Linked DNA regions of Caenorhabditis elegans. The protein of the gene in region 1 purifies or fractionates together with the protein of each later gene. This does not show direct contact. Each region holds a gene or a part of one and is shown in the gene's direction. Other genes may lie near its edges.

What was found.
Region 2: the proteins of rac-2 (region 1) and R05C11.2 fractionate together in Caenorhabditis elegans (co-fractionation; one large-scale study listed by BioGRID). This does not show direct contact.
Region 3: the proteins of rac-2 (region 1) and Y17G9B.8 fractionate together in Caenorhabditis elegans (co-fractionation; one large-scale study listed by BioGRID). This does not show direct contact.

What each region holds. Positions count from the first base shown.
Region 1 is NC_003282.8:16,304,501-16,311,873, forward strand, and holds rac-2 (Ras-related protein rac-2), read left to right. Parts: upstream 1-3,724; coding exon 3,725-3,829; intron 3,830-4,225; coding exon 4,226-4,317; intron 4,318-4,756; coding exon 4,757-4,942; intron 4,943-5,124; coding exon 5,125-5,329; downstream 5,330-7,373. UniProt on the Caenorhabditis elegans protein: During gonad morphogenesis, plays a role in distal tip cell (DTC)-mediated guidance of gonad elongation.
Region 2 is NC_003282.8:2,055,177-2,062,464, reverse strand, and holds R05C11.2 (DUF38 domain-containing protein), read left to right. Parts: upstream 1-3,353; coding exon 3,354-3,469; intron 3,470-3,517; coding exon 3,518-4,262; intron 4,263-4,308; coding exon 4,309-4,587; 3' UTR 4,588-5,087; downstream 5,088-7,288. Other genes in the region: R05C11.4 (Protein shisa-9), read right to left, coding at 5,757-5,795, 6,371-6,537, 6,587-6,699.
Region 3 is NC_003282.8:4,754,976-4,762,238, reverse strand, and holds Y17G9B.8 (SGF29 C-terminal domain-containing protein), read left to right. Parts: upstream 1-3,398; 5' UTR 3,399-3,608; intron 3,609-3,657; 5' UTR 3,658-4,121; coding exon 4,122-4,195; intron 4,196-4,241; coding exon 4,242-4,690; intron 4,691-4,737; coding exon 4,738-4,925; 3' UTR 4,926-5,062; downstream 5,063-7,263. Other genes in the region: cyp-31A3 (CYtochrome P450 family), read right to left, coding at 1-308, 357-451, 500-596, 640-1,040, 1,087-1,179; memi-1 (MEiosis-to-MItosis transition associated), read left to right, coding at 1,812-2,291, 2,339-2,524, 2,574-2,765, 2,817-2,999; Y17G9B.11 (PID domain-containing protein), read right to left, coding at 5,297-5,377, 5,428-5,634; fbxb-77 (F-box associated domain-containing protein), read left to right, coding at 6,103-6,194, 6,464-7,179.

The sequences.
Region 1 (7,373 bases):
CAGACAAGTCTCATTGAAAAAACTGAAGAAAAAAATCACAATCAAATACTCTGTTCCAGCTTTTGTAGTAAAAAATGCGCTGTGTGGGCCACAACTACCAAATTTCGTAACGAGACGTTCTGAAAATTTCTCAAAAAAGTTATGACCTGAAGTTTTGGAAAAAAAATGACCTTCTTTAGGTAAAATCTCAAGCTTCGACAACTTTTCAGTGGCGCAGCGGTAGAAACTTGATTTTTATTTAATAAGCACTTTTTGATACATATTACGGTACTTTGGTTTTGTCATTGATTTAGGTAAATTTTTGTCGATGAGTGCACAAAATTAGATCATATTCGTATTAAAGTATGACAATACAATAAAAACGTATTTTCGCGTATTGCCACTGCCAAGTTACAAAATTTTGAGATTGCAACTAAAATTCGATCATTTTTTCTCCAAACTTTTGAGCAGTTATGAAAAATCTCCAATTTCTATACTCCACCTTTAAATAAATTATCAATGGAGTTTTCAGCGACGGATGCGCAGTCATTGTTGTACTAGAAAACCGACTTTCCATTTTGTTAATCAATCCAACAAAATGGGAATATGCACGTTCGCCATTCTTTGCATTTTACTATTTTACTGCTATTGCCACCTTCTATCCAGTTTATGCTACAATGCCACCAGGAATAGAGTACAAAAAAGATTTTATCATAGAGGTGGTTCCAGATAATAGCCTTGTTAATCATAGAAATTAAATTATCAATTTTCAGTCTCTTCCCTGCCTTAGGGCTGGCCAAATGTCAAAAAATACGACAACTTAAAAAATATTCACGTGACGGGGGTCACTCTTCGACACTTTTGTTTTTGTCAATATTTGACGTGTCGAAAACCGACACCGTCGAGTTTAGACACTCGAAACGTTGATTTATTGTTTTTATTTTTGATTTTATTTCCCAGTTCACGTTTTTTCAAATGAGCACAGAAAACAATGATGTGGCAGTTGAAAAATTTAATAAAATACTTTGATTAACAATTATAATTTTCATTCATTTTTATCCACGTATTCAGTGTCGAAAAGCGACACCACGAAGTGTCAAGAAATGACTTTCTAATTTTTTGAATCACGTGTGAGATTCATTTTTCGACTACAGAAATAAATGAAAATTTTTGTTTATTGACGACACTTGGCCAGCCCTACCCTGCCTATCAGATGAAGTTCGCGCTCTCCCTCTCTACCTTGCCGTGGAAAACAAATTGCAATATCTGATGGGGACTGTAGGAGAAGCAATACTACTTTATGTTACCTGCTTGGCACTCTTTTTTCAAATCTACCGTGCTCTTAAAAAATATGGCAAAGTCCGTTCGAAACAAACCTTGGAACTACAAAAAAAGCTGATGAAGGCGATGTTTTTGCAATTGGCAATTCCCTTTTCCATTATCTCCATTCCAATGGCCTATTTCTCATATACACCATTTTTCAATGCGGCATTGAATAATACTATGTATATTATAGTTGCAACACATGGTTTCATATCAACAATTGTTATGCTCATTGTACAGAAACCTTACCGAGAATTTATCCTGGGAGGTTTCGGGAAGTTTTTTAAACTGAGACAGTCTAGCGAAAATGTTTCGGGGATCAGTTTACACTCGATGAATACAATTGTAGCACCAAACCGAATGTTTTGAATAAATACTACTTTAAACATTGTTTTTGCATTGATTCAAAGCACCGTTTTCTAACGTCGTAACATTTAAGCAGGTGATATTCAGTTTGTAGTTATTACTAATACATTTATTTTGTTTTCAAAGGATAGCCACAATTAAATTTAAAAAAAGATAAATCTCTTTGAAAATGGTATTTTGGTTAAATACTGTTCACTTGAGGGCTTGAAATATAATATAAATCGTTGGAGAGACAGGAGAAACGTCAACAGGGAGAAAACCTGTGTTATTATGTAGAGCACATATATTACAATAGGAAGTGTTAAATAGGAGATGTTAAAGTAGTTAGGAGAATTTCTTTTAAAAAAAGTTATTGTTCTGGATCAAGAATTTTTTATCTCACATATTAAGACAACTAAAGCACAAGAAAAACAGGAACGCTAGGTATAGGAAATAGACGTTTCTGGACATTTGATAAAGATGATTAACAGCTGGAAACAGTATCATCTGAATGAGAAAGTTATGTTTAATGCAATGCACGTGTTGAATACCGCTTTATCGAGTTTTCGATTCATTTTGAACACGTACACATAAACTGGGAATAATGCCGAAAAAACAATCACCGAAGCAATAAAAAATATCTTGAAAGAATAATATATTGTTTCAGTAATTTTTACAATAGTGTCGTTCATTGGTACTTCTTTTAAAGCAATGTACTGCCAAATTTATATTATAGATTAGGAATTAGTGTGAAATAAAGTTACTGACAGGTGAATGTTATTTACGGCAAGAGCGAAAATTTTGTTTCTGTAACATTCTTGACCAATGACAAGTAAAGGTGGAGTACCGAAATGGGTACTTGTGTTTCGCACTACGTTGCTCACTCGCCAAGCTACACACGCCGAGCTGCGGAACTCGGAAGGTATCGGCCGCTTCCAAATAACTACCTTTCGCACTTCGTTGCGCACACACACCGGCGAAGGGCGACGGCGCCTCCGCCGCGCCGCTCTCACATGGAAGCCCTATTCCCTTTTTTTGAAATGTATCCATTTTAATAAAACGTGATGTCCATTACCCCTCTTTAGGCTTAGAAATGGTTATTTCCTGAGCCTAAAGATACAAAAACTCCACACGTTAAAAAAAAAATTTAAATGAGGAAAATTTAAAAATGGCACAATACTACAAATTTTCGTAATTAGATTGCTAAAAAAAACAGTTATGATCACTCAAAAATTTTGGAAAAATCGGCTATATTTTGCTGAAATCTCAAATTTTCACAACTAGGGCTGTTATTTAGGACGTCCTAGGTCGTCCTTGTCATTTTTTGATGGCTTATTTTGGCGTCCGTTTAACAGGAAAATTCAGCCTCAAACTCGAATCCAGATAATATTAACCCAAATAATCTATTTTCGTTATCAAAATTAATGTGTTAAGTCCGAGGACTTTGGTATAAAAATTGGGAGGACGATGAGGACGTCCTGTTTAACAGCCCTATTGACAACTTTTCAGTGTCGCAGCGGTTGGAACTCAATTGTCATCCTAATTTCTGCACTATGACGAAAAGTCAAAGGCGTGGTGTACAGACAACTCAGTGCGAAATGTGGTTTTAGCTGCGGCCGACGCTTTTCGGGTTCCGCTCGGGGGTCACCGCAAAGCGCGCGTGGCAGACGTTATCCCGCCTGCATGGAATCCCTACCTTCCTCATAGGATTCATCAGTAGTTCTCGATCGTTCTTCGGCCCGGCCCAATTCACCTATAAAACTAAATGAAACGCGCATTCAAGGTCATTCCTTATATTTTCCCTATACTCTTATTTCGTTATTTTTGTCTTCCTTATACTTACCACGTGTCTGTTACTCATCTATTCTGTAATTACTTAATTCCTCTGATCAACATGACAAGATGAAATAATCTCACTAGATCCAGTTTTGCTTCTTATTTTTTAAAGTTTTCCGAGGGAAAACGTTAGTTAGATTTCCCCCTCCTATCAGGTTTTCTCCAATGTTTTTCAATATCATGATTAAAATTTGTCCTGTTCTTGAACCAATTTTCAGTTTTTTTGCTCGCGGAGCTCCAGATGCAAGCAATCAAATGTGTCGTCGTTGGTGACGGAGCCGTCGGTAAGACGTGTCTCCTGCTATCGTACACTACAAACGCTTTTCCCGGAGAATATATTCTAACGGTGAGCCACTTTTTGTCGGGGCACTTGAGAAAAATTCGGGTTGGCACTTGAAAATTTTTTTTTCAAAAAATCTTATTTTTTAGCGCAAAAATTTGAAAAAAAATTTGAAAAAAAATCTATCTATACTTTTTTATTTAAAAAACCATGAAAAGTTGAATTCGTTTTTCAAAAAAAGGCAACTTCTGTCCGTAAACGTAAAAATGAAAACATTTTTTGAATGAACCCTCTGAAAGTGGAAAATTTTGACCGAAAACACGATTAAAGTGCTAATTTACATGATGAAAATATGAAAAGTTCTTACCTTTTTTTGCCTGATTTTAACCAGATAAAATTGGAGAACGGTCTGAAATTGGGCTTTTTCCTTATAATCTCGAATTAAGCCCAATATTTATGCAGGTATTCGACACCTACTCAACAAATGTGATGGTCGACGGAAGGCCAATAAATCTCAGCCTATGGGACACAGCTGGACAGGACGATTACGATCAGTACGTGCGGAAAAATCTGAAAAATGCGTCAAAAAATGAGCCAAATTTCATTTTCTCAAAATAGTTGATAGTAAATTTTTTCAAAGTTTTCGCCTATTTTAGAGCAATTTTCTATTTTAGAGCGAAACATTCTGAAACTTCTAAAATTTTTAACCGACCTATTGTCTGCTAAAAGTACAATTTTGTTATTGTGAAAATTGCTAAAAATATTTCCTCCACAACTTTTTTTTCTACTTTTTACAATTTTTCTAGCAATTTTCAAGCGGATTCTATTTTATAATGACAAAAAGAATGTCTATCAAAAAGTAACATTTCATATCAAATTTCGTAGGGAATGAAAAAAATCTTAAACTATATCTAATCTATCTAATGAATGTTTATTGTATTTACATGTGAATGTAAATTTACAGCCCACTTAAATTTCCCCATTTTTCTTCAGATTCCGCCACCTGTCATTTCCACAAACAGACGTATTCCTCGTATGCTTTGCACTGAATAATCCAGCAAGTTTTGAGAATGTTCGTGCAAAATGGTATCCAGAAGTATCACATCATTGCCCAAATACACCGATTATTTTGGTTGGAACTAAAGCTGATTTACGCGAGGATCGAGATACTATTGAACGGTAATTTTTTGGGATTCATTTTAGCATCGAAACAACTTTTTTATCATGTTTGAGAGAGATATGGCAAGAAATTGGGTGTGAAACTTTTGCATATCTCCCCATGTTTTTACCTTTTCGGCCAAAAAAGACAGCAACTCCAATGTAATACCCCCAAAAACTCTTGAAAAATAAAATTTTTGCAGGCTCCGTGAACGTCGGCTCCAACCAGTGAGCCACACCCAGGGTTACGTGATGGCAAAGGAAATCAAGGCGGTCAAGTACCTGGAATGCTCGGCGCTTACCCAAATTGGATTGAAACAAGTTTTCGATGAGGCAATTCGTACTGGGCTCACCCCGCCACAAACACCACAAACGAGAGCCAAAAAGAGCAATTGCACGGTGCTTTAAAATGCGAGGAAATTGGAGAACTCAAATTACAGAAACTACAACAATTTCAACTACCATACTAATTTTCAATACATAAAAGCTTCTGAAGCTTTTCGTCGTTGGAATTTCATATTTTCAGGTCGGAAAAAAAATTGAAGGAGAGGATAATCCCTTGCCTTGAGGACTGATCATCACAAAGTTATTACCACATGATTAGTACCCACCTATAACAGACCAAAAAACGAACCACGTGTGTGTTCAAAGCTAAAATCGGAGTTTCACCATGTTTTTGGCGAGAACTCGTAATTTGAGCTTTGATTGTGAATTCTTTTAGGGCTTCCATGTGGGCGCCGGTCAGGCGCCTCCACCGGCCTCATGTCGCCACTAACGCCGCAAGTATCCGTATGTATAGTGCGGCGCGAAACCTCGAACGTGTCGGCCGCTTCCATATAACTACCACTTCGTTGCGCACATACATCGACGAGGGGCGAAGGCGACGGCGGGCCGGCGTGAGGCCGGCAAAGGCGCCTCCGCCATGCGGCTCTCACATGGAAGCCATAGTTTAATTTGATGGTCATCCTAATTTCTGCACTATGACGAAAAGTCAAAGGCGTGGTGTACAGACAACTCAGTGCGAAATGTGGTTTTAGCTGCGGCCGACGCTTTTCGGGTTCCGCTCGGGGGTCACCGCAAAGCGCGCGTGGCAGACGTTATCCCGCCTGCATGGAATCCCTACCTCCCTCATAGGATTCATCAGTAGTTCTCGATCGTTCTTCGGCCCGGCCCAATTCACCTATAAAACTAAATGAAACGCGCATTCAAGGTCATTCCTTATATTTTCCTTATACTCCTGTTTCGTTATACTTTTCTTCCTTATACTTACCACGTGTCTGTTGTTTGTCCCCATTTACTCTTCTATTCTGTAATTGCTTCATCCCTTTAATAAACACGACAAGATGAAATATTCTTACTATATCCAGTTTTGCTTCTCATTTTTTAGTTTTTCGAGGGAACAAGTTATGGGGTTATTCAAGTAGTGTCGGAAAATTAAAAGGTGTAGGAATATTACGTCACTTTGTGTATTAAAATACATAAAAAACATGTACATAAAGTGACCTAATATTCCTACACTTTTTTAATTTTCCGACACTACTTGAATAACCCCATTAGGTTTCCCCCCGAAGGTTATCTCCTATATTTTTCAATATCATGATTAAAATTTTTCCTGTTCTTGAACCAATTTTCAGTTTTTTTGCTCGCGGAGCTCCAGATGCAAGCAATCAAATGTGTCGTCGTTGGTGACGGAGCCGTCGGTAAGACGTGTCTCCTGCTATCGTACACTACAAACGCTTTTCCCGGAGAATATATTCTAACGGTGAGCCACTTTTTGTTGGGCAATTTGAGAAAAATGGCGTGCAAAAATCAGAAAAAAATCGTCATTTTTATTTAAGAAAACATAAAAAGTTGAACTTGTTTCTCAAAAAAAGCAACATTTGTCCATAAACGTAGAAATGGGTAAAAATTTAGAATAAAAAGTGGGTAATTTTTACCGAAAATACTTTGCCTGATTTTGAGCAGAGAAAATTAAAAGCGGTCTGAAATTTGACTATAAATTCAAATAATGTTCAATATTTCTGCAGGTGTTCGACACCTACTCAACAAATGTGATGGTCGACGGACGGCCAATAAATCTCAGCCTATGGGACACAGCTGGACAGGAAGATTACGATCAGTACGAGCGGAAAAATCTGAAAAATTTCTCGAAAAATGAGCCAGATTTCATAAATATTTTCTCAAATTATTTGATAACATTTTTTCAAAGTTATCGCCTATTTCAGAGCAATTTTCAATAAAAATTGGAATTGGCCTAGGCTTAATTTGTACCTTTTTTGATAAAAACTTATGATTATTAAATTTTCTGGAAAACAGGTGAAAATGGTAAAATATTTCAAATTTTACTCGAATAGTTGAACACTAATTTTCAATTCATTCTAGTGAAATCTACTCATTTTTAGAGAAAGTACAATTTTTTTACAGTAAAAATTGCTCGGAACTTTTCCTCAAC
Region 2 (7,288 bases), about 14 Mb from region 1:
CTTTTAAGAAAACAAATTCACAAAAACAGAGCAATTTTAAAAGTGTATGTAGTAGATCTCCTGGCTCTAACTCGGAGCTCTACCTCCGAGGCTAAAGCTAGAAACTCATATGACCACATAAATCATAAAGTGACTTCACAACTACATACATATAAAACCAAATAGCAGATGTATATAAAATAGATATGTACACCACCACCACCACCACCACCAGAAGAAAGGTCGGGCAGTGGAGAAGAACAAGAGCTGGTGCCTGAGAGGGGGGCGCCCACTGGGAATCGCCCCCCGCATCTTCTGAGATTCTTTTTTAGAGGCACAAGAATATGGGGGCTTTTATTCCATGTATCCCCCTCCCCCTTCCCTCTTTGCAAAACAGCACAATTTTTGAATTGTGGCTCTGGAGGTGAGAGGAGCTGGAGCTGGAATTTCCTGGAATGGGGAAACCAGGTCAATTAATAGAAATAAGAAATAATATAGGAACACACATTGAGAATGAAAAAAAAATGAAAAAGTAAGTGTTAAAACACACACACACAACATTCGTTGCTCCATGCTCTTCACAATGAGTAGCACCACAGTTGATGGACGTGGGTGCCCCCGGGGGAGAAACGGGGGGCGCCGCCGCCTTTTTTTTTTTTGAGAGCGCGCGGCAGGGCAAAAATGTTTGTTGTTTATGCTTATGCACATAAAAAATGGAGAAGTGAAAAGGTTTTTTGATATTGAGATTTTCAAGGTTTCGAGTATTGAATGTAATTTTGAAAACATGCTGATTTGAGATTATTGAATTTAAAATTAGAAATAAAAAAAACAGATTTTTATTATCTATCAGAATTACGTCATTGTTAGAGGTGGAGTAGATCAGGGGTGCGTGGCAAATTTTTTTCCGACAAAAACGGCAAATCGGCGAATTGCCAGTTTGCCGATTTGCCGAAAATTTTCATTTCCGGCAATTGCCGGTTCGCCGGGAATTTTAAATTCCGCCAATTTGACGGTTTGCCGATTTGCCGAAAATTTTAATTTCCGGTAATTTTCCGGTTAGCCAACTTGCCGGGAATTTTCAATGGCGCCAATTTGCCGGTTTGCCAGGAATTTTCAATTCCGCCAGATTGCCGGTTTGTCGATTGGCCGGGAATTTTAAATTCCGGTAATTTGCCGGTTTGCTGATTTTCCGGAAATTTTCAATTCCGCTAATTTGCCGATTTGCCGGGAATTTTCAATTCCGCCGATTTGCCGGAAATTTTTAACTCCGGCACTTTGCCGGAAATTTTCCGGTTAGCTGATTTGCCGGAAATTTTCAATTCGGCAAATTTGCCGGTTTGCCGGAAATTTTCAATTCCGCTAATTTGCCGATTTGCCGGGAATTTTCAATTCCGCCGATTTGCCGGAAATTTTTAACTCCGGTACTTTGCCGGAAATTTTCCGGTTAGCTGATTTGCCGGAAATTTTTAACTCCGGCACTTTGCCGGTTAATCGACTTGCCTGAAATTTTCCGGTTAGAGAATTTGCCGGGAATTTTCAATTCGGCCAATTTGCCGGTTTGCCGGGAATTTTCAATTGTGCCAATTTGCCGGTTTGCAGATTTGCCGGGAATTTTGAATTCCGGTAATTTGCCGGTTTGCCGATTTGTCGGATATCAATTTGCCGGAAGTGTTTTTTCCGGCAAATCGGCAATTTTCTGGTTGGCCGATTTGCCTATAATTTCAATTCTGGTAATTTGCTGATTAGCCGGAAAAAATCGTTTGCCGCCCACCACTGGAGTAGAGTCAATTTTTTTGCTTTAAATAATAGAAAATGGGCCGTAATGACTAAATTCAACAGTAAATATTAGTAGGCAAGAATTATAATAACAGTTCAGTTTTGAGTTTAACTACCGTACCCTTACAGTACCCATACATTTAATCAACTCATATGAGTAGGGTAATAGGTGTAAAGAAGCTCTATACAAAGAAAAACTAATCTCATTCATTTTAAGATGTTCCAAGAAAATATTGGTTTCCGTTTCGCATGTTCATATATTTCCAATAACTAACATCTGGATGCAATGCAGGAAAATATTATTGCGGTTAGAATTTCCTGGAAGACGTTGGGAAGATGGGTATTTGTTTTTCAAGCTGGACAATTTTTAGATTATTTGTTTTAGAGCAGTACTTGGATTTGGGGAATTTATGAAAACCTGGAAAACTTAACAGGTAAATAGCTAAATTTGCATAGGGGTTATTTAGATTTTTTTTCGGCAATTTTGTCAGTTGTCAATTTTCCTATGAATAAATTATTTTTGCTATGCAATCTATGCAACAAAAAGAACAACGAAAAACTAACGGAAAGAAGCCCAGAAAAATTATTTAATTAGTGAAAGCGTCGAAAGTTTGGCTCTTTTCTTTTATTTCCAATTAACATATATTCGGTCAGAAAATTTGTAGACTCTATGTGATCAATGTTCTTGACTAGTGAAAAGGTACCGACTATGCATGTTGATAATTGGTAAGTGAGCATAGTTGGTACCTACAATTTCTACGTCACAACATCTTGACCGTTTTTCCCCCACAACGGGAGTGGCCTGTGAGCGTATAGAGAGAGTTGAGTTTGTAGAGATACACAGGCAATATAACTGCCTCCTACATATTTTGCGAGAGAGTGACCTTTAGCAGGTGAGCCTGTACAACAGTTTTGGAGCTGACAAAATCTGATGCTGAAAAAGAATTCGTGTGTCCTGCTGTGTGGAAAAACTGTCAAGATGTTGTGACTTAGAAATTGAATGTACCAATTACCACATGCAAACTAGAGTGCGAATTAAATTATTTCAACTTTCGGTCACTGCGGCATAACATTGACATCATGGCAAAAGTTCAGATTTTCGTTAAATTTGCATTTTTCTCCAAATTGTGAATCAACTTAAAGGGGGAGTAGAGTTTGTGGATATTTTGCTTAAATAGACTAAAACTGGTCCAAAACCACCGAATTTCATAATGAGACATCACAAAAAATTTCGAAAACTTTCGAAAAAAAAAAATACACGAATAGGAACATTGCAATCATTTTTAAATTCTTTTTTATTCTGCTAAGTTCCAGGTAACCCCAAAAAAACTCATGTAGCCAAAAATCTGATCTTCCATTTCACTTCTGTCTTTTTTAATGTCCAATTAACATTATTTCCTAATTAGATAAGAGTGGCAGATCAAGAGCAACCTAAACCAAGTTTTGCCAAAATCTTGCTCAATTTATGGCCCGACACGAGAAAAAGCTAGAGTTAGCACAGAACAGGCATATTTTATTTCTCCTACAGTGTAATACTTGCACGAAACGAAATTATTGTTAACAATGCAACTATTCAGAACCAGCTAGAGCAGCTGACAATGGATGAAACGAAGCTTTTGTCTGAAGTTTCTGGCTCATCGATATCAAGCACTTTGTGGTTCTACAACACTGTGATTATGAACAGCGTTGTTGAACGTCTCGATTTTTTTGATATGTATGTAAAGTCTTTTGATTTTTTTTAGCTTGAATTTTATTTTTTCAGACAAGTGCTCCGTAAAATTTCTTATGGAAGCCGTCAGTGCATCGACCTTATCAAACCAGACCATAAATTACTCAAAATCGGCATTCATGTTCAAAGCATTGGGTGCGCACTTCTTGAGATGTTTACCGAATCCACAAACCGAAAAGTTTCATATAAGGCTTCAAGATTATCCAGAAAATCTAGCGAGTTGGATTACGGCAACTTTTCAAACGACTTGTTCCTTATTTTGAAAAATCAAAAATCTGCTTTGGAAGAACTTAAAATGAATTTTATGCAAGTTGATGAAACCAGCGAGTCAAGTTTCAAGGATGTTACGGAAGAAGAAAAAAAATACATGGATGAAATTGAGGGGAATCCCCAGGAAACAGAAAGTCATTCAATCTGGGACCAGAATGAGAATCGATTTTTGAAATCGTTCAAAGATTTGCACGCCTCGCTGGGTCGATTGCTGCCAGTGGAAAAGTTGGTTGTCACAACAAGAAACCAAAAAACCATAGTGCAACTGCTCCAATCCGTGGATCCCTCTAAGCTGAACAAAATTGAGTTTGGAACATCTTTCGACGTACCTGCAAGTGATGTATGGAGCATTGAAGAGTTTTTGGTCATGGAACAATGGAGGAATGCGAAAGAGTTGACAATTATTAAGCGTGTTATCAAGTGTGATGTTGAAAATCTTGTTCACTTCAGAAAAGTTGACATAATTTTGGATTCGTTATCATTGAAAAATGTTATATATTTGAGAGATGTGAGTTCGAATATCTCATGTAATTTTTAAAAAAAAATAATTTCAGATGTTCCTAGTTTCACCGGACTTTCTCCAGTTCAAGGTCACATTTGTGAACAGTGACGTAAATAATTCTATATTTCAAGAAGGATTTTTGGGAATTCCGTTTCGCATAGTTACCGATTCTACAAATAATCAACCTAGCATTTGGTTTTTCAATTGCATGAACGACACAGATGATCTACAAATTCGATATTATCAAAATCTTAAAAAATTCATGTTTAATCGTATTCCGAGGGAATCTAGTCCGGCTATTCCGAGGGAATCTAGTCCGGCTAGGTGCTAGAGCTGTTGTAAAGGTCACTTCCCTGTTCCTCGCCAACGGGACGAAAAGTTGTCCCTAATGATTTTTTTTTCAAATATTAATTTTTCACCTGATTTAAACTAGGGCTCCCATGAGGTCGCCGCAAAGGCGCCTTCGCCCGCCTCAGCGGTCGCCGCGCCGGCCTCACGGCGTCACTCTCGCCTTTCACTGAATTACACATAAACTTTTATTTTCATTTCTTATATTTTTTTTCTAAATTTTCAACGAATTTTTGAAAATTAAAATTTAAAATTCACGTCATTATTATTGAAAGCGGCGAACGGCGAAGGCGAAGGCCGGCCGGCGTGAGGCCGGCGTGAGGCCCGCATTTTGCGCCTCACTCAGCTGGGAACCCTAATTTAAACAATACTTTCATGTGCATGAATCTTTTGTACGTTTAAATATAATTTTTAATGGCGTGGATATAGATATTTCACGTACTATTTTTATAAATAAATAAATTCACTTATAATAAATTTAAACATTTATTTCTTAATTATTCTCAATTTACTGTGCACCTTTTCATATTTTACGGTAAAGTTAAATGTATCTAAATATTTGTTTAACCTGAAAATATTGTGCAACATAAAAAAAAAAAAAATATATATATATACAAAATGGACGCACTTTGACAAAATGAAAGCATAAATCAATAATAAGTCTCACTATGAGAAATGATTGAATAATTAAATAAATAAAAAATTTCAAGCTGGAAACTTGCTGGAAAAGGTGATAATTGAACTTTTTCTTAATTAAGAAATTTTCTTCAAACGAATGTTTCCGCGGTATTAAATTTTTTTATTGAAGCAAAAAGCGCAGAGATCGAAGATTTTTACATAAAAATTCCATATATTCCAACAAACATGGAAGAATTTTGAAAGAAGCACATGAGAAAAAGCACCGAATAATGATGAATTTTTAACCAAAAAATTCGAAAAAAATCACAAAAATACAGAAAAATTGAAGAAGCCGGGTGATTGAAAAAAAATCAATAAATTCATAGAAGAAATTGAGCAAATGATCCGGGGGGCGGGGAATTCAATATCTTACATTAAAAAAAACATGCTAAAATGTGAGAGTACTTCGTGTCAAGACCCGTTAAATTTGAAGAGAGGATTTTTTTTATAATTTTTTAGAAAAAAAAAGGAAGATTAGGAGATTTGAGGAGGTGTCCTACGGGATCCGTTTACCTGAAAATATTGATTTTTTTTTATTTGTAACTATTTCCGTGCGAAATTTGAAATTTTTACCGCCAAATGGAAAATTTTTGAATTTTCGGCGCCAAAAACTATATACTCGAAATTTTTGAAAAAACCGACAAAATTATAAAATTCAAAATCTGAAAATTGGCACAAACGAATTTTATTTTACTTGGCGGCAAAATGTAAGAATTCAAAAATTTTCGAATTTCGCGCCAAATTTGAAATTTGTAAAATTAATAAGTTTTGGCACCAAATTGAAAAATCACTTTTTGGAGCCAAGTTCCAAATTTTCAAAGTTTTAAATTTTGACTTTGAATTCAAAATTTTAAGTTCCTACATTTTGGCACCAATTTAAAAAATTTCGAGATTTTTTAAACTTTTAGTGCAATTTCAAAATTTTCTTTATGATTTTTGCGTTGAATTCAAATAAATTTCGCATTTTTAATTTTCGGCGCCAAATTTAAAAATTTTTAATTTATATTTCTCGAATCCAATTTTTGAAATTTTAATAATTTTTTAAATGTATAATTTTTGGCGCCAAAATCAAAACTCCTCCCACATACCTCATTTTCCAGTATGCAATTCCATTCGTTATTATCCGTTGATGACGTGGCAACCACCGGCGGGGGTACAAAACACTCGTAGGGAGGCGGTGCCTCGTACATTTTTGGCGGAATTTGATCTACCGGACGGTAGAGCGCAGATGGTGACTCATTCGATCGAGTTATCACTGAAATTGGTGGAAATTTCAAACTTTCCGTGAAAAAGAAAGAACTTACTATGAATACTCTGATACATTGGACACCCGGGAATCTTTTTGCAAACTATTGCTGTCACAATTACCAGTAGAGAAATGACAAGTACTGAGCCAAAGATGATTAGTGCCAGGTAGCTGAAAATATTTCAATTATGAATTTCATGAGTTTTCAGCACTTTTATTAGGTTTCTGTGGTTTTCAGCTTCAAAATGAGCCCCATATTTCCTATGTTAGCTTTATTATGATTTTCAGCTGTGCGAGGCGGTCGCGTCGCGGTTTTTTCAAGACACTAATAAGAAAAGTGATAAATCAATTCAAAATAAAGTTATATATTGCTTCACGTGTTCGAGTTTTCAAAAAGTTGAGTTTCAGAGAGATTGGAGCAAATTTAGGCTAGGCGCGTTGCGGTCGCGTCGCGTTGCGGTCGTGTAATTTTCAAAATCAAGCAAAATATATCGAGATGGGTGTTAAATGAAAGCTCTTAAGCTAAAATATTCAAAAATTATAGTTTTGAGCATAAATTGATATGCATTTCTGAAAAATTGCTTACTATTAGTTTTCTCTAAATTTTTGAAATTTTGTTGTACATTCCCAATTATTATTTGAAAAAATCTCCCTTATATCCCAAAACTTCTCCATTTTTTCCAAGGAATTAGTAAAAGAAGTCTTGCTCCCAACACAAGAACCCGGGGGGTCATAACAGGAAGTTATCCTCGGCCTCTCC
Region 3 (7,263 bases), about 12 Mb from region 1:
CTTCATCCAATTCCGCTTGAACTTTTCTCTGAACTTCAGGATGATTTCCCAGAAGATGTATTGCCCACATTAGTCCTGTAGATGTTGTATCGTGGCCTTCAAACATGAATGTGTCAACTTCTGCCTGAACATCTGTTTCGTCCATTTGTCCACTTTTCACCATTTCGAGAAGAAGATCTAAAAATGCGAGACGACCTTCCATCTTATAATCATTCTCCTGTAGCGCTTCTTTTCTCTCGACAATTACTTTCTTCGTGAAATCATGTAGAATACGAAGACATTTTTCATGCGTTCGTCCGTCTTCTGTTCTGAAAAATAAAATTGAATTGACCTTTTTAATGATAAAACTATCGTACAAATTGTAAATAAACGAATTCCACATTAACGGATTATTTGTTCGCTTTGAGATCAGCTTGTTGATTGTGTGCACCGCCCATACATACTCGTTATTCTGAAAAAAAAACGTTTAGAAATGTTGCGATTGAAGAATTTCTCGAACCTCCGCGAGTTGAGCACCGATAGCTTTGCCCATGGAAGTTTCACAAATGATATCAAGAGTGCACAAGGTTATAACGGAGAGAACATCAACTTCTTCCCTGAAAATGAATATTTGAAAGCGTTATAAATTGAAATTCTCACTCTGCTCCGAGGGAACACATTTTCTGAACCAAAATCTTTGATTGCTCGTTGAAAATCGGCAAAAAATCCTTCAGAATATCATAATGGAAGGTGGGTGTCAAGAGTTTTCGCTTTGGACGCCATTGTTCCTTCTGGCTTGTCAAAATACTGATTCCAAGCCATGGCTCAAGCAAAACGTATGCGAAACCTTTGTTCAGATGTTTCGTCGACGAGAAAATTGGTTCCACGAGATCGGCGGAGTAGAGCATCAGGCAAGGGAACGGACCAATCCACAAAAGACACATACGTGGATCTGGATATAAATATCCCATTCCAATTACTTGGTTCATGAATCCCTCTGGATCTGGCTTGGTGACCAGTCCGTGACCGACGATTGGATATGAACGTGGTTGATTGAGATGCTGAAAATTTATTTAAATTATCTTCAAATGAATTTTGAAATCAAACCTTCAAAGCTTGACGCATTCTCAAGTGTTTGTAGAGAAGCCAAGCGATTATCGTCGCCGAAGCGAGAAGTACAGCGGGGATGATAACCCCCATTGCAAAACCTTCTGAAATAATTTATTTGAGCGAAAAAAACGAGCAAAAAGCGTTGAAAACTTGAGGAAAATTGTTTGTTAAGCTTTGGTTTTGAAAATCGCAAAAAAAAAAGTTTTTGAACGAACATTCAAATTTCAGACAAGTCGTGGTGAGACCCATGTGAAAATCGTCATGCGTCTTTAAAGAGTACGGTAGTCTTGAGAAAGTTCTCGAACGAATTTTTGTCGTTTTCTGATATTTCAATCTTGATTTAAATAATTATTAAAAACTTTTAATTACCATTATTTTTTCAACAAAAAAATGAAGAAAACAAAAAAACAAATCCAAAACTATTTTTCAATGAATATTGTACTTTTTATGAATGCTTCGTCTATTTGACCTATTTGACGTATTTGATCCCCCCGTCGAAAAACCAGCGCAACTATTTCATATAGGCTCAACGAATTTTTGATCGTGAATCTTCTTCTTCTTTGCTGACACTCACAAAAACTGATGAAGTTTTTTAAAAAATGGTTTTATCGATAAATTATTATTAATCTGCCAATCACTTCAGTACATTTACTTTTTTTTTAGTTTTCTCTTTCATTTTTGCTTCAAATTTTTTATAAAATTTTAAATCAACGTTTTTCAGAATGTCAGCTCCATCTCGCACCGTCCTTCGCGATTTGACGGCGACCAGATACGTCGCCAACTACGCCGAAGAAGATCGCTTGGAAACCGCTCGAGCCGGTTGCTCTTCCCTCCCACCACAACCCAACATCAATCATGATGTAATTATCGAAGGGCACGGAGAAGATGTGGAGCTCGTCGAAGATGAGAACTACTGTTCCGTTCATCGTATCGATGAGACTCCAAAGCTCGTCGACAAGAAACCGAGCAAGACAATCATCCGCGATGAAGCTGTCAAAGTGCTCCGGCACATTCAGACTGTGCCGATTGAAAATCTTCGTCTTAAGCGCTACGACTATTTCTCGCAAAGATGGTTCCACACGACCAGAGAATCGGAGAAAGCGCTTGTCGAGCACGTGTTTCTTCATCCCAACCAACGACCACATTATTTTGCCGCTCAGTGCCGGAAGCTGTCGGTCGAGGATATCTCTAGTTTGATTCTGGTTAGTTTCTTGGCCATATTTTTGATAAAGCATAAATCTCATTTCAGACTTCTCTCCTGACCGAACCGAAGGAAACGGGACAAAATGTGGCTCGATTTGCTATCCAGACAACCAATGAAATGTCGTTCCAAACGTTATTTGCATTGCTCGAACAACTAGAGAAGGAAAACGAAAGGTTCCAAATGACAGATAGCTTTGTGGTTGCAACCCTGATCCGATCACAGACGAAGAGAGTAAGTAAATCGGTTTTATATTACACACAAATAACTTTTCATGTTTCAGACTATCACTCGTCTCCTGAGAACCACACACTGCCGGGAATACGGAAATCTCGAGCCAGGACTCGATTCACAAGGCCGGCTGATGACTTCGACTGCATCAATCACGTGTTCAATTCGAGGAAAGCGCCACGTGGAAACGAGGATCGTGTACAAGAACAACTCGAGCACCAGGGATCCTTTCCGAAGAAATAGAGTGAGTTGTATAGCAATAATTCTATCGATTTCCAATTTATAACATTTTCAGTACATCGAATTGGAGCAAACGGTGAAGTGCATGAACCGGCGAGTGCTGATTGTCGAAGAGCCAGTCGAAATCCACGAATTCGAGGTCGAAAAGGATATGATCTCGCTGGAAAACGGAATTGCGCCAGTCGACGACCTGATCTCGTTTCTCGAAACATTCGAACTGGATGAAGAGGACGAGTAACTCCATATATGTCCTATAATTAGTAGTAATGTGCATAAGTCTGTATTATTGTATATGTATTTAAATAACCGAGTGGTTCCTGTTGAATATTCCAACTAACTTCCCCTATTTTATTTTCCTTTTTTGTTTTAGTTGTTTTATGTATATAGATTCTCCAATGCCCAAATTGTGACAACCCACGACTATTTTGTTTATATTCGACATGTATATTGCCCGCATTTATTTTGATTTTTTTTCAAAGATGAATTTGTTTGAGGTATAATTTTACAATGCATTACTGCTCTGATTGATTGATTAGAATATGAATTTCAACTATTCCCGGCTTTTCACTGGTAAATTACTCCATATACGTTATTTTCCCACCGCAACAACCTGGCCTTTTCATTGCCTCATTCACAGCATACGACTTGTAATGTCTGCACTCTCCCCGTCTCATCACGTAATCAGGTCTCTCTCGATTCTTCCCGTTTAAATATATATCTGCTCTATTGCACCTCTTCATTTCCTTGTTCAGGAAAATAGCATAATTTCAAAATGCCTCGGAAGAAGAACGATGTGCAAATCACCGAGGAAATGAAGAAGAAAACCGCCGAAGAGGTTATCAAAAAGGTGAGTTTTATTTATTTATTTATTCCTAGTTTTGAAATTAATTTTCCAGCTGCCAACAGTGAAATCGAAGCAAGACGCTATCAACGAGAATCTGCAAAAACTTCAAGAATTCCGAGATAATGAGCCGAACCCCTATGGAAAGGGTAAAGTGGGTTTTTTTAAACAATTTTTATAACTAATTTTTGCGAAATCCAATCATTAAAAATTCAATATAAATACAGTAGTCTGTTTAAAGGGGCACGTGGTTGTACGGCTGGGTCTCGCCACGATTTTAAAGTTTTCTTGCAAATATCAATTAAAATCTTAACAAAAGAAATCAATGAAGACCAAGTTTTAGATAAATTTTTAAAATTTGAAGTAAAGTTTTGAATAGTTTCAACAAAATTTTCGGGGCAATTGCCTCGAAAATCTGTTCAAATTTGCAATCTGTACAAATTCGGCGATTTCTGCATGCTGTGCACAAATTCGGTTGAAATCTGGGTATATTCTGAACGGGTTTACTGAGAAGTTTCCATGGTTTTCGATGGAATTTCACATTTTGTCACCAGCACTCATCGATCTGTGGAATCACAACAATCATTCATTAGGTTCGTTTTCATCTTTAATCTCTCAAAATTAAAATAAATATTACAGAAATCTTTTGGACGAAGTAAAACGTGTTGCTGAAATGGATTATCGCTCCCAAATGGCCGGAGACATCAGTCGGAGAGATTTAATGGAACTGATCAAGGTTCGCGGCGACCTTCTTCCATTATGGACCAGCCATGACACACAATTTCCTGGAGAATATGTTGGAGCTATTGCACCACAGGATGGCTCGAAACTAGGCGACGGAGATTCAGTGGCGGCATTCAGTAAAGACGGAAACTGGATTCTTGCTGATATTGTCACATGTCACTCTAACTCGCGATATGAGTGTCGAGACGTTGATGATGACAAGAAGAAGTTGACAGTTTTCGCGAGAAGCCATTTGTTACCCCTCCCAAAATGGAAAGCGAATCCTGCATCAGACAAGCATGCACTTTTCGAGAAAAATGCGATTGTGTTGGCGTTGTATCCACAAACCACTTGCTTCTACAAAGGTACCAATTTTCACAAAAGTTTCAAAAATAAAATAATTATTTTCCAGGAATAGTTCACTCCCCGCCAGCAGATTTTCGAGAACCATATCAAGTAGCGTTCGAAGACGACAGCTATGCATCAGGATTCTGCCCTCCAATGCCGGTTGCTCAGAAATACGTGGTTGCCTTCCGAGAAGTTGCAGGGCTCACTGCATCAACTGCTCCAAAAAAGGGAAATGGCCACAAAAAGAAATGAGGCCATAATCCAATTAATTGACAGTATTTATTGTATGTAACTCCTAAAAATCCCGGAATTCCTTCTCATAAATCTCACAATGTTTTTTATTTGTCCATAAAAGTTGTTCTTATCAAAAATAAAACGTGTTATTATTGGCGGCAACATTATTCGAAAATTATACAAGAGAAATAATTCAGAGAGTGCAGAAAAAATTAGAAAGTGATCCAATGCGTGGTCTTGATTATTAAAAATTAACGTGATTTTAAAACCAGAAAAACATTTTGATTAATATATCTGCACGATCTACAATGATAAATAGTACATAGCCGTCATCCCATCATTCCTTCTCACATCATAACCACCTTTGACAGGATACTCGTCACATCCCGTCAATCCCAACGGCAAAAGAACAAAAAATTCTCTATCCACAGTCTCCTCAGCATCGAAAGCGCACTAGAGATAGCTATCTGCTAGATATTCTATACCTTCAAAGAGTGATTCGAGAAGATCTTCGTCTCACCTGAATGCAGTAAAATCGAAATTCGCAGATTCCAGTTTCCTGTCGACTCCGTGAATCCAGTGTTTCAAAAATATATTGACATCTTTGATTCTTAGATAAGCGACGAATGCGGAAGCATTTGTCACTATTTAGTACATCATTAAGATCATATTTCAATGATTGGTGTAGTACAACTATGTCCATGTTACGTGTTAAAACCATTTGCATTTGTTTAGATGCTTCTATTGAGAACGGGTTTTTGCTGCTTGTACAAATTGAATCAGTTTTACCGGAAAACTGTTTCAACACATGTTCATATAGCAAACTGTTAAAGCCAAACACTGTGCCTAGCTGCAAATCCTCAAACTCCAATCCTTCGAATTCATCACAAATCGTACTTTCGAATTGTGCAGTATCAAATGATAACTTATCAATTCTCTTTTGATGAAATATTTCCATAAGATGATTGTCCGTTCGTCCGTGAGAGTGAAGTGTTTGAGAAGATTCTTTTTGTCAGAATAAGAAGACGTTAGAATATGTTAATGGGTCCTGGGAACATGGGAGTGGTTACGGACGAAGGAAATCTTTGTCTCTGCAGCAGATGTATAATAACAAGTAAGTAGAGAGTTAGAGAAATAAGAGGTCACTGAACATTACCACTCAATCCTCCCATCTGCTCATTCTTTATTTGTGACCATGGATGACTATGTGCCTATTCCCTTCACATTGCTCAAATTACCTCAAAAATCGATTGATGTCGTGCTGCGCAGAATGTGCATAGAAGCATTGTGAGTACATAGATCATCATTAAATTTTTTCTGTAGTTTGCTGAAGAGCGTAATTCGAAAAATTGCTTGAGTGATTCGAGAAGTTTTAATGAAATGTATAGTTACTTTGAAACTTTTATTACTCAACAAGCCGGTGTCTTTCGAGCCTACCTCTCGACTTCCTCCGACTAGTAAAATTAAAATTCAAACATCCCGTTCTCAAATAGCCTTGATCCAGGGATATGGTTCACTAATCGCATTTCCTTGTCAATATGAAATATTCATTACAGAGTTGAATTATCATTCACATCTAAAGCTGCAATGCAACAAACTAAACACCTTGGTATAAAAACCGAACGTTTTATCATCGCAATTAATTCAAATGAAATATTGATTGACGTTTCCGGTTGTAGAGATTTCCGATTCTACACTTTCGAATGTTCAACCCCCAGCCACCATACTGTACAGAAGCCCATAAGAGTGCATGTTGGTTTCAGAGGGGAAAGATGGGAAACCCCATTTTTTGGAGTGAGACAATTTTTGAATCATCTTATGGAAATATTTCATCAAACAAAACTTGATAGCTTACATATTAGTACAGCTGACCCTGAATGTTCTAATGAACTCAAAGGAATGGAGTTTGGGTGGTTGTCCATGATGTCCATGACATCGGACAACAATAGTTCACAAGATGAAGATGCATTGAGACAGTTTTCCGGCAAAACTGATTCAATTTGTTTAAATAGAAACCCATTCTCAATAGAACCATCTAAACAAATGCAAATGATTTTAACACGAAACATGAACGTAGTATCAACGAAATGTGATCTTAATGATGTGTTTGTTACAAATGCCCGTTCATTCACCGCTTTTCTGAAAATCGAAGATGTCAATATATTTCTGAAGCACTGGATGCACAGATCCGACAGAAAACTGAAATCTGCATGGTTCGATTTAGATGCATTCAGGTGGGACGTTGAAGATGTTCTCGAACCACTTTTTAAAGGTATAGCATATCACGTTGCCCCAGCAGATAGAGAATTTATTGTTCATTTGCCGAAAAAGTTATCGGGATGTGGTGATTATCGTG